Nothobranchius furzeri: one gene and its partner. The protein of the gene in region 1 interacts with the protein of each later gene in a pairwise test. Links are inferred from orthologs where the notes say so. Each region holds a gene or a part of one and is shown on either strand. Other genes may lie near its edges. The genes, in order: gtpbp3 and protein mono-ADP-ribosyltransferase PARP11.

The links.
Region 2: the proteins of gtpbp3 (region 1) and protein mono-ADP-ribosyltransferase PARP11 interact in binary tests that used the Homo sapiens proteins (3 or more experiments, as listed by UniProt). The two-hybrid records come from large-scale screens. The link is inferred for Nothobranchius furzeri from reciprocal best matches to the Homo sapiens genes GTPBP3 and PARP11.

The regions. Positions count from the first base shown.
Region 1 is NC_091748.1:66,786,861-66,791,366, reverse strand, and holds the start of gtpbp3 (tRNA modification GTPase GTPBP3, mitochondrial), read right to left. Parts: upstream 3,005-4,506; 5' UTR 2,752-3,004; coding exon 2,687-2,751; intron 2,283-2,686; coding exon 2,017-2,282; intron 1,819-2,016; coding exon 1,732-1,818; intron 1,045-1,731; coding exon 962-1,044; intron 411-961; coding exon 291-410; intron 1-290. UniProt on the Homo sapiens protein: GTPase component of the GTPBP3-MTO1 complex that catalyzes the 5-taurinomethyluridine (taum(5)U) modification at the 34th wobble position (U34) of mitochondrial tRNAs (mt-tRNAs), which plays a role in mt-tRNA decoding and mitochondrial translation.
Region 2 is NC_091741.1:45,966,393-45,970,832, forward strand, and holds the start of protein mono-ADP-ribosyltransferase PARP11, read right to left. Parts: upstream 3,084-4,440; 5' UTR 2,946-3,083; coding exon 2,903-2,945; intron 2,813-2,902; coding exon 2,688-2,812; intron 2,323-2,687; coding exon 2,202-2,322; intron 2,001-2,201; coding exon 1,925-2,000; intron 1,755-1,924; coding exon 1,682-1,754; intron 468-1,681; coding exon 340-467; intron 2-339; coding exon 1-1. Other genes in the region: sodium- and chloride-dependent GABA transporter 2, read left to right, coding at 3,908-4,085, 4,168-4,302. UniProt on the Homo sapiens protein: Mono-ADP-ribosyltransferase that mediates mono-ADP-ribosylation of target proteins. Plays a role in nuclear envelope stability and nuclear remodeling during spermiogenesis. Inhibits the type I interferon activated signaling pathway.

The DNA of each region.
Region 1 (4,506 bases):
AGGTATTATAATAATTTTAGTTTTAGGGTTTAATGGTAGAACCACAGAAAGCCTGAGTCAAGACTGAGAAAGTTTCAGAAAAATCATTTAAATCCAAACAGATCAACAGGTTTTAGTGTAGTGAATAAAAAAAACAAGTATACAAGTTCCTGCAATACAAATCAGTTTAATCGATCATATCATAAATCTGGAGCTTTATTTTAGCATCTGAAACCATGATGAATCCAAACAGTTGGAAGAAAGCTGAAAAATTCCAGCAGAGTATAAATTACAACTATTTCTAGACTTACTCGCTTCAACTTGTGGCTCCAGTCCCGGTAGATGTGTCCCAGTTCTCCTGACATCTGTCGAAGAGCTTGTCTCCGCTGGGCCTCGGTCTCTGCATGAATCAGATCCCCGAGTCCCTCCACCTTCATCAGGATTTACACAGGATCATTTTGATTTAGTCAATTTAAGTTCATTCTTAAATCCTTGGTAATGCAAATGAATATCCAACCAACAGCAATAAAGACATAACTTCCTCTCATACGTGATCAGGTTTGTTAGAGGATATCATGTTAGGAGATTTATGAAGCTTTGCATTCAGCTTATACCTCCTCTGTTTCCTGCTGCTGTTTTAAAAAAAGAATCAGAATTGGCCTAAATTGGTATCAACAGGTCAGCATTTGGCCCCCAGGACAAAAAATTGTTTATCTCTAATGAAAATGTGTTTTTTTTTTACCTTAAAAACACTAAAGCCTTTGGCTCTCAAGTTTCAAAAACATTTTAATCTATGCACACTCACCCGATTCACTGCACTCAAGAACAATGACCTAACATCAGAGCCTCACTGAAGCTCCTACAGGATTATGTCAAGAGGAACCATTTAGGTTTATTTAATAGTTTTTTCCAGGTGTCCTGTAGACTCACATAAAAACGCACAAAGCAGATTTATTTTATTGTACAGACTCTTCTAACTCACCTCTGTTAAATCAAGCTTCCCTGCTTGAAAAGCCCTTCGCGTGAACTCCCCAGCTTCAGCAGGCCTCGTGCCAGGCACGCTTCCTGCAAAACACACACATACAAACAAAAACATGAAGAAACGGAGGTGGTGCACGTGTGCATTACGCAAACAAAGAGAGCAGGATCAGATGTGGGGTCAGAGAGGTACTTAAGGTTCACCAGGACTCACAACAGACTCATCTGCAGGTCATCAACGGTCATGTGTGCATTGTTCTTACAACCATTCTTTAGATCTCATTAGCGGACAATAAAGAACACATGTTCATTTGGGAAATGGGGGTTCTAAATAATAAATGAACATTTCAGTGGTAATAATAGTTCACACATTCTGCATAAATCCATTTGGGACTGACTGTATGGATTATTTTGTATAGAACTCTGATGAATGGTAAAATCTCACAGGACAACAAACTGGTAGATTCTTTATTTTGTATTATGCACCACTGCCCCCTACTGGGCGGATAACAGAGCAGAAGTGAATTAATTCCTGTCCATCACAAAAGGGACTGACATGCTTGTCAAAGCAAATATTTTAAGCATCTTAGAAATAGAAGTGCATGTGGCAGTTTTCTCTTTTAAGTCACATGACAGACAGTCACATGACTCTACCAGATGGAGCACTTAGAATTACTTTGAAGGCTTATGGCTTGGGGAATTTAAGCCGCAAATATGCATTTTGATGGACTCAAAATGATGACAGGTTTTATTAGTATTTAATTTTTTTTTTACCTAGAGCTTGTAGGACAGCAGTAATGACAGCAGGACCACCATGGATGTGGAACTCCACGCTGTCTTCTCCTGTGAAGCTGTGAGGAGCTGATGACATAAGCAGAAGAATACGATAAGTTCTTTTGATTTTTAAGTTAGCCTGTGTCTAAGACTTTGATCCAGATAAAGCAAGGCTTGGACTTGTGACAGGAAGAAACTCAAGCCTCAATAAACGCTCTTAAGCTGGCAAAAAAAAAAGGGAACACCAAATAAAGTTTGAATTATGTTCTGAATTATGTGGCTCACCTGGAAACCAGAGGACAAGCCCACGGTCCAGCATTTCTCCGGAGAGGGGATCTGTGATGCTGCGCAACAGAGCAGTTCGTGGAGGAGGCAGGCGGTGCCCAGCCATACTCCTTAAAGCTGTCGCTGAGGCAGGGCCACTGACACGTACCACAGCTACGCCACACCTGCCATAACCTGATGACAGGGCAAAGATGGTGTCAGCGTCTGCCAGCCCACCCTGAACTCCACCGTACGTGGACAGGAGACGATGGAGAGAGGTGCGTCTACTGGATTTAAGGAGGACATAAATTATTAATTAGATATATTAGGCCACATCAGCAGTGAACGTCAACAATAAAAAAGACCTTCAGAGAACCTGAAAGCTACTGATTACTATGCCTCTAAAGGTTTACAAAAAACTATGCTCCTTGGAAAAAGTCAGTGTATAAACACCTTAAATATGTAGAATGATTTAACCTTACACTGGTTTCTAACAGATTAACAATAAAAAAAAAAATCCAAAAGGAATGTTGTGTTTTTGTTTTACATGTTTTAACAGAAGCTCTTCGTTTTCCAAAGGGCCTTAAGTCACATTTTATACAGATCAGACGCCTTAATCACGACATAAACAACATTTTATAACCAGAATGACTTTAAAAATGTTCGTAAAAGTTAAAAGTTTTAAACCAACTTTGTCCAAAGTCCGCGAATCACAGCTCTGCACACTCCACGATGGATGGACGATGGTCGAAACATAATTATGGAATAAATATAAACTATTAAATTATCACCTTTTTATCATTCAGACTTACAATTAGTCCTCATTATAATCTGTATTTATGGCTTTTTCGCCGTTCAGATAGTTTCTACTAAACGGACCAGGAAACCTAACCTTGCTATTACTGACACGAAGGTCAAATATTTAAATTATATCGGTTAAACTTTCATTAAAAATAAAAAATCGACCCGACTCGTCTCCTCTATTTGATATGTCGTCCATGCTGTTTTCATGTGTGAAAAATCTGAGCTCCTATTCGCTGAGAACCTGTCGATCAACAGGAAGTTCCGCCTACTGTGCATCAAATCATTCAGTCCGTAGCGTTATGCCAACGATAATTAGTTCCGTTATCCTTCTCAACACTGGGATGCGAAAGTTTGGGCAGCCTTGTTAATCTTCAAGATTTTCCTGTATAAATAGTTGGTTGTTACGATAAAACATTTGTAGTTAAATGTATCATAAAGGAGACACACACGTTAATATTTGAGAAGTCAAACAAAGTTGATAGGATTCACAGAACGATGCATTAATTAAAATTAGACAAGTGCATTAATTTGGGCACCACAAACAATAAATTAACTTAACATTTAGTAGATCCTCTTTTTGTAGAAATAACTGCCTCTAAAAGCTTCCTATAGCTTTCAATGAGAGTCTGGATTCTGGTTAACGGTATTTTGGCCCATTCTTCTTTACAAAACATCTCTAATTCATTCAGGTCTGATGGCTTCTGAGCATGGATAGTTCTCTTAAAGTCACACCACAGATGTTCAACAATATTCAGGTCTGGGGACTGAGATGGCCGTTCCAGTATGTTGTACTTACTCCTCTACATGAATGCCTTAGTAGATGCTGAGCAGTGTTTAGGGACGTTGTCTTGTTGACAGATCCAGCCCCGGTGCAGTTTCAGCTTTGTCACTGATCCCTGAACATTGGTCTCGAGAATCTGCTGATATTGAGTGGAATCCATGCGTCCCTCAACTTTAACAAGATTCCCAGTCCCTGCACTGGCCACACAGCCCACAGCATGATGGAACCACCACCATGTTTTACTGTAGGTAACGGGTGTTTTTCTTGGACTGCTGTGTTCTTTTTCCTCCATGCATAACACCCCTTGTTATGCCCAAATAACTCAGTTTTTGTTTCATCAGTCCACAGCACCTTATTCCAAAATGAAGCTGGCTTGTCCAAATGTGCTTCAGCGTACCTCAAGCAGCTTTGTTTGTGCTGTGGGTGGAGAAAAGGCTTCGTCTGCATCGTCTCTCACATACAGCATCTCCTTGTGTAAAGTAGTTTTGTTGATGGTTGAATGATGCACTCCATCATCATCTTACAGTAACTCCATCTGCAGCAAGATGATGTTGATAATTAAGATGACCACAAACACAATTTGCTTTCCTTTAACCCTCTGGAGGCAGGTGTTACAGATTTGCAACGTTAAAACCTTCCTACCAGGTTACTCCACGCACGTATTTCATGAGCATTTTTTAACTCAGAAGTACCCCTGAAGGACTTAGTTTTTCGTCCTTTTATCAAAACTTATTTTGAGCCTGAGAGGGTTAATCCCACTGTCAGAACATTCCATTCCATTCCATTTATTTGATAAAGCACATTTAAAAACAGCATGTGAGCTGACCAAAGTGCTGTACAGGGGTAAGAACATATAAGGTTAAACGAATAATTTAAAAGAATAAAACAACTAGAGCATAGCACAAAGAACCAACCAAGAGAAGTCA
Region 2 (4,440 bases), on another chromosome or scaffold:
CCTTAGGGGAGAGCACAACACAGAGTATCATTTTGTATTTACAGATCCCAAAAAGCTGCCAGATACCAGCATATGACTGCTTCTGATGAGTAAAGACCAACTGAAATCAAATAAGTGTCTAACAGAAGAAAGACCCACTACACTGATGCTCAGGAGATGTATTGCCTCCAATGTCCACAGGCTAAAGTCAAGTCTAAGTGAATTTAGCGGGTGTATGAAACCAAATAACAAAATGACTGGAATGGAATTACAGCCACAGAGGAACCTTTTACTCACACACGGCCCTGATGACAACGCTGCAGGGCCAACACCAATTTAAACTAAAACAAAGCTGCCTACCGACAGAAGAACTCCCATAAATCCAAGTTTTGAATCCTCTGGATGGACTTTAATGGATGATCCATTGTCCTCTCGTACAGTCTGGCTACCTCCTTAAACTCATAAGTGTCTCTGCTGAGCTGGATGAGCTGTAAAAACAAAATCACATGAAAGGAAAAGATTTCTAAATGCAAAAGTAAAATTCTACACATTACAAAATCCTTTTTTTTTAGCTTGTGATGATGTTTTATTGTTATTTCCTCAAAAACTCCCCCAAAGTGGTTTTTGGCTTTACACATGGCTTCAGCTGCTTCTACCTTTAAGCCCTGCAAATCTTTGCTAAGTTATTGAATTCAGCTAGACGGGATTGCTGCTGAATTATCACTACTCGCTCCTCTCTATCCAGGTAGTCTCTCGAGTCCGGATTGCTCCTCCCTTGGACTGTAAACACTAACGCCCAGTCTCTACGTGTAGCTAGTCAGTTTAAGTTCCACAGTTATGAAGAAGTGATTTTCTTTCTTATTTAGTCTGCACTTTAAATAATGCCTAGAACCCAAACATGGACTTTTGCCTGCGAGAGATACAGGATCCCTGTCCAGTCTTCCTGAAGAGTTAAATCAGCAGAAAGGGTTGGATGTATTCTTTAGGAACTTCAAAAACTGAGCCAGATTGTCTTACTGTGATTCTGCAGCAAGCGTCAGTCTCCGGTCTCTGGGTTTGCTGCTGTGTACTGGGGGGGGGGGGGGGGGGGGGGGGTCATCTGAAATATTTGATCACATACAGTACTATGCCTGCTGTTGCTCTGGAAGGTGTAAAATAGCATAGCACGGGTCTTTAAACCTATGATGTTTGAATGTTAGCAGCTGAAAACTCATTTGTTCAGGCTGGCTTTGGTGACCTTCATCTCTACTCTATCCTTATTCTGTTTCCCAGGAGCCACCGGCACTTATTTCTTATTTATTTATCATATGATTTTTTTAAATTGTTTTTATTTTTTTTTTATTTTAGTTCTTGTGAAGCACCTCGTGACTTTTATCTTGAAAGGCACTATATAAAATATTGTTTTCTTTCTTTTTGAAGATGATACAAAATCATTTTGTTCATGAGTAGATCTAGGTTACCTTTGGCTTTGATTGACGATTGATGACCACATTTAAAAGTGAGATTTCTGGGAGCTGTGGAGTAACATGAACTGATAATGCTTTAAAATTTGTAGAATATTTGTTAATCTAAAATACAGAAGAAAGCCTTAATTTTCATCACATCCTTGCTATTCTCTGGCATGAAATTTGTTATGTATCTTTGCCAAATAACTTAACAGCATGTTTTGTTTCAAGCCCTCCATTCTCACATTATTACTTACCTGATAGGTTTCATCTGTATTGATTCTCTCCCAGTGACAGGGAACAGGCAAGGCCAAATTATCACAAATAAACCTGGAAGAGCAAAGTTGGTGAGTACTAGCTCGCAGAAGAAACAGGTATCTGATTCTTAAACAGAAGCCAACATGTCTTTCAGTGCTGACAATTAAGTCCAGAGCAGAGGTTTCCCGATGCACCAAAAGTATTCCTAATGTCTTATTTCAATTTGAACAGCAAAATCTCACCTGAAACCAGTTGCAGAGTGCAGGGAGCGTTTGATTGGTCGCTGTTTGCCCGTTGTTACATTTATCTGTCGCATAACTGGAGAGGAAGTTTTCAAGCATTAGAACAGGCGCTCAAAAACAAAACGCAGAGCAAACGTAAAAAAAAAAAATCCAATCAGAACTGAGTTTTTGTGTTGATTTTGAGATGCTTCAGTATTTCTACTTAACCTTTCTTAACACTGCAGTTTAAAAATGAAATGGACAAACCTAATGTTGTTTATCAAACATTATAGTTTACCTGAGAAGTCCAATCTGTAGGTGTACTTGGCTGTGTAGAACTCCATGACCCCACGCTGGTTCCTGTTGTAGCACTGCTCAATCTGGGCGCTTGTTACTGAGCAGGCTGCACTGGGATCAATCTGATGGACATCAAGAAAACAAGCGAGGAGCTGAACAATTCTGATTGACAAAACTGTAAAAAAATACTTTGAATTGAAGTGAAGTGGGTAAACAAATAAACAATAACATAATTTATCTGTATTGGACACAATGTCTGAGCGTACAACTTTAAAATACTTTTATAAAGTCTAAAGAAAAGTTACTCAATACAACTTAAAAAGATCAAAAGGAAGTTTGGCTCATTTCAAGCAAAAAATAATGCCTTCTAGGCTTTTGGGTGCATTTAATATGGTACACCCTGACAGTTTTCAAGCAAAATAATTGGGCGGTGTACTTAAACATTTTCTAATAACACCATTTAGAGTTGTAGTATGATGCAAAATACCTCAAACATATGCCACACCCCGCACTCAGCCAAGTAGAACCAGCACCAGTTTGGTTCAGAGATGTCCATCTCCTCCAGCTCCGTGGACTCCTCCTCTGATGACCTGATGGCTAACATTGCCAAAACTGATATAAACACAGACAAAGCAAACAAACTCACTGAAGGGCAAACATGGGACGCAATTAGGGGATCTTATATGCTGATTTCAGACAAACCTAACGTTGACGAGTCATGTTTACAACATAGTTTAGGGTGCATTTCATCTTGTGAATAAAGAAAACAAAAGAATCATCTCTTATCCAGCTAGCTCTCATTAGCTGTTGCTGCAGCCGTTTCCTCTTAGCTCCGCGGGTGTTTCCGGCTTTACGCCTGATTCTAACCGGGTCTTCTTTGTTGAAATAAACAGACCTAAAAACCGATCATAAAACACCGACAACATCAAAGAAAGAGACTGAATCTGGCTCACTAACTATTATTTTTTTTCTTTCCCAATGCGTTGTTTACTTTTGTTTCCTGGTTTGTGCTTACGTCATTCGACAAACGACAGTGCGTAACTCAAAGAAGGACCGCCTACTTAGTTTTGTGGAGCACAAGAACCCGGGCTTTGTCCTGACAGGCACATAATCCGCTTCAGAAATATGTTTTAGAAGTACAAGAAATTCTTGACTGTTCAGAATTCACAGACTTTTCATGCTGAGTAGCTTCATTAGTAGTTTAAATTAAAAGCAACTTTGTAAAAAAATCACAACATTTCACACATTGGACAAACATGTTGGAGAAGCACATTTTTTAACTACATTTTTTTGATTATGCTATTTTTTTGTTGTTGATAGTTGACTATACTAGACATTTTCTATTTAGCATGGGACAGCCCCAGTATGTGCTGCAAGACACTCCCCTATTTTAGAGTGAAGACTTCTCTTGAAACTTCTGCCAGGCATTTAAAGAATTGCATTGACGGGATCACACAAAGCACACGGGTAAGTAACAAACTCGTGGGAAGATTTACTTTTGCAGACTCTGCACACAAAATGTACATATGTCTATTTAAAGTTTATGTGAGGAGCCTGAAAACTGTCAGGCTTGTTTTATTGCTTAGTGATGATGAGCATGAACATCCTGTAATGTAAAAGCTTTTAACCCATGTCTGCATATGAGAATCATGAAGTGTTATAAAATGCACCAGATGTTACATTTCGAGCGTCTTTATTAGCCTGATTATGACTGAGGAAACCACTGTTGGTGAGCCTGGCCAGGATAAACAGGATCCAGAAGAGGGGGCTCAGCCAAGGGAAAAATGGGCCAACAACATGGAGTTTATTCTCTCCATGGCAGGAGAAATTATTGGCCTTGGAAATGTTTGGCGTTTCCCCTATCTGTGCTACAAGAATGGAGGAGGTAAGATGCTGCATCTGTGGGAGATTTCAATCAATGAAAATTGAAAATTATTAGATTTTCTCATGAATTATTTCGTATTTAGGGGTCTTCCTTATCCCCTACTGCGTGTTCCTCTTCTTCTGTGGCATCCCTGTGTTTTTCCTTGAGACCGCACTGGGCCAATACACCAGTGAGGGTGGGGTGACTGCCTGGAGGAAGATTTGCCCCATGTTTGAGGGTAAAAAACAAGGCTCAGCTAGAGAAGCAAACCCTCCACAATAGCTGCTTTGTACACCCACTGTCAGGCTTGTTTTGATTTTATCAATAGAGAATGATGCAATGAAATACACACTTGAGCTGGAATGGAAATGTCATA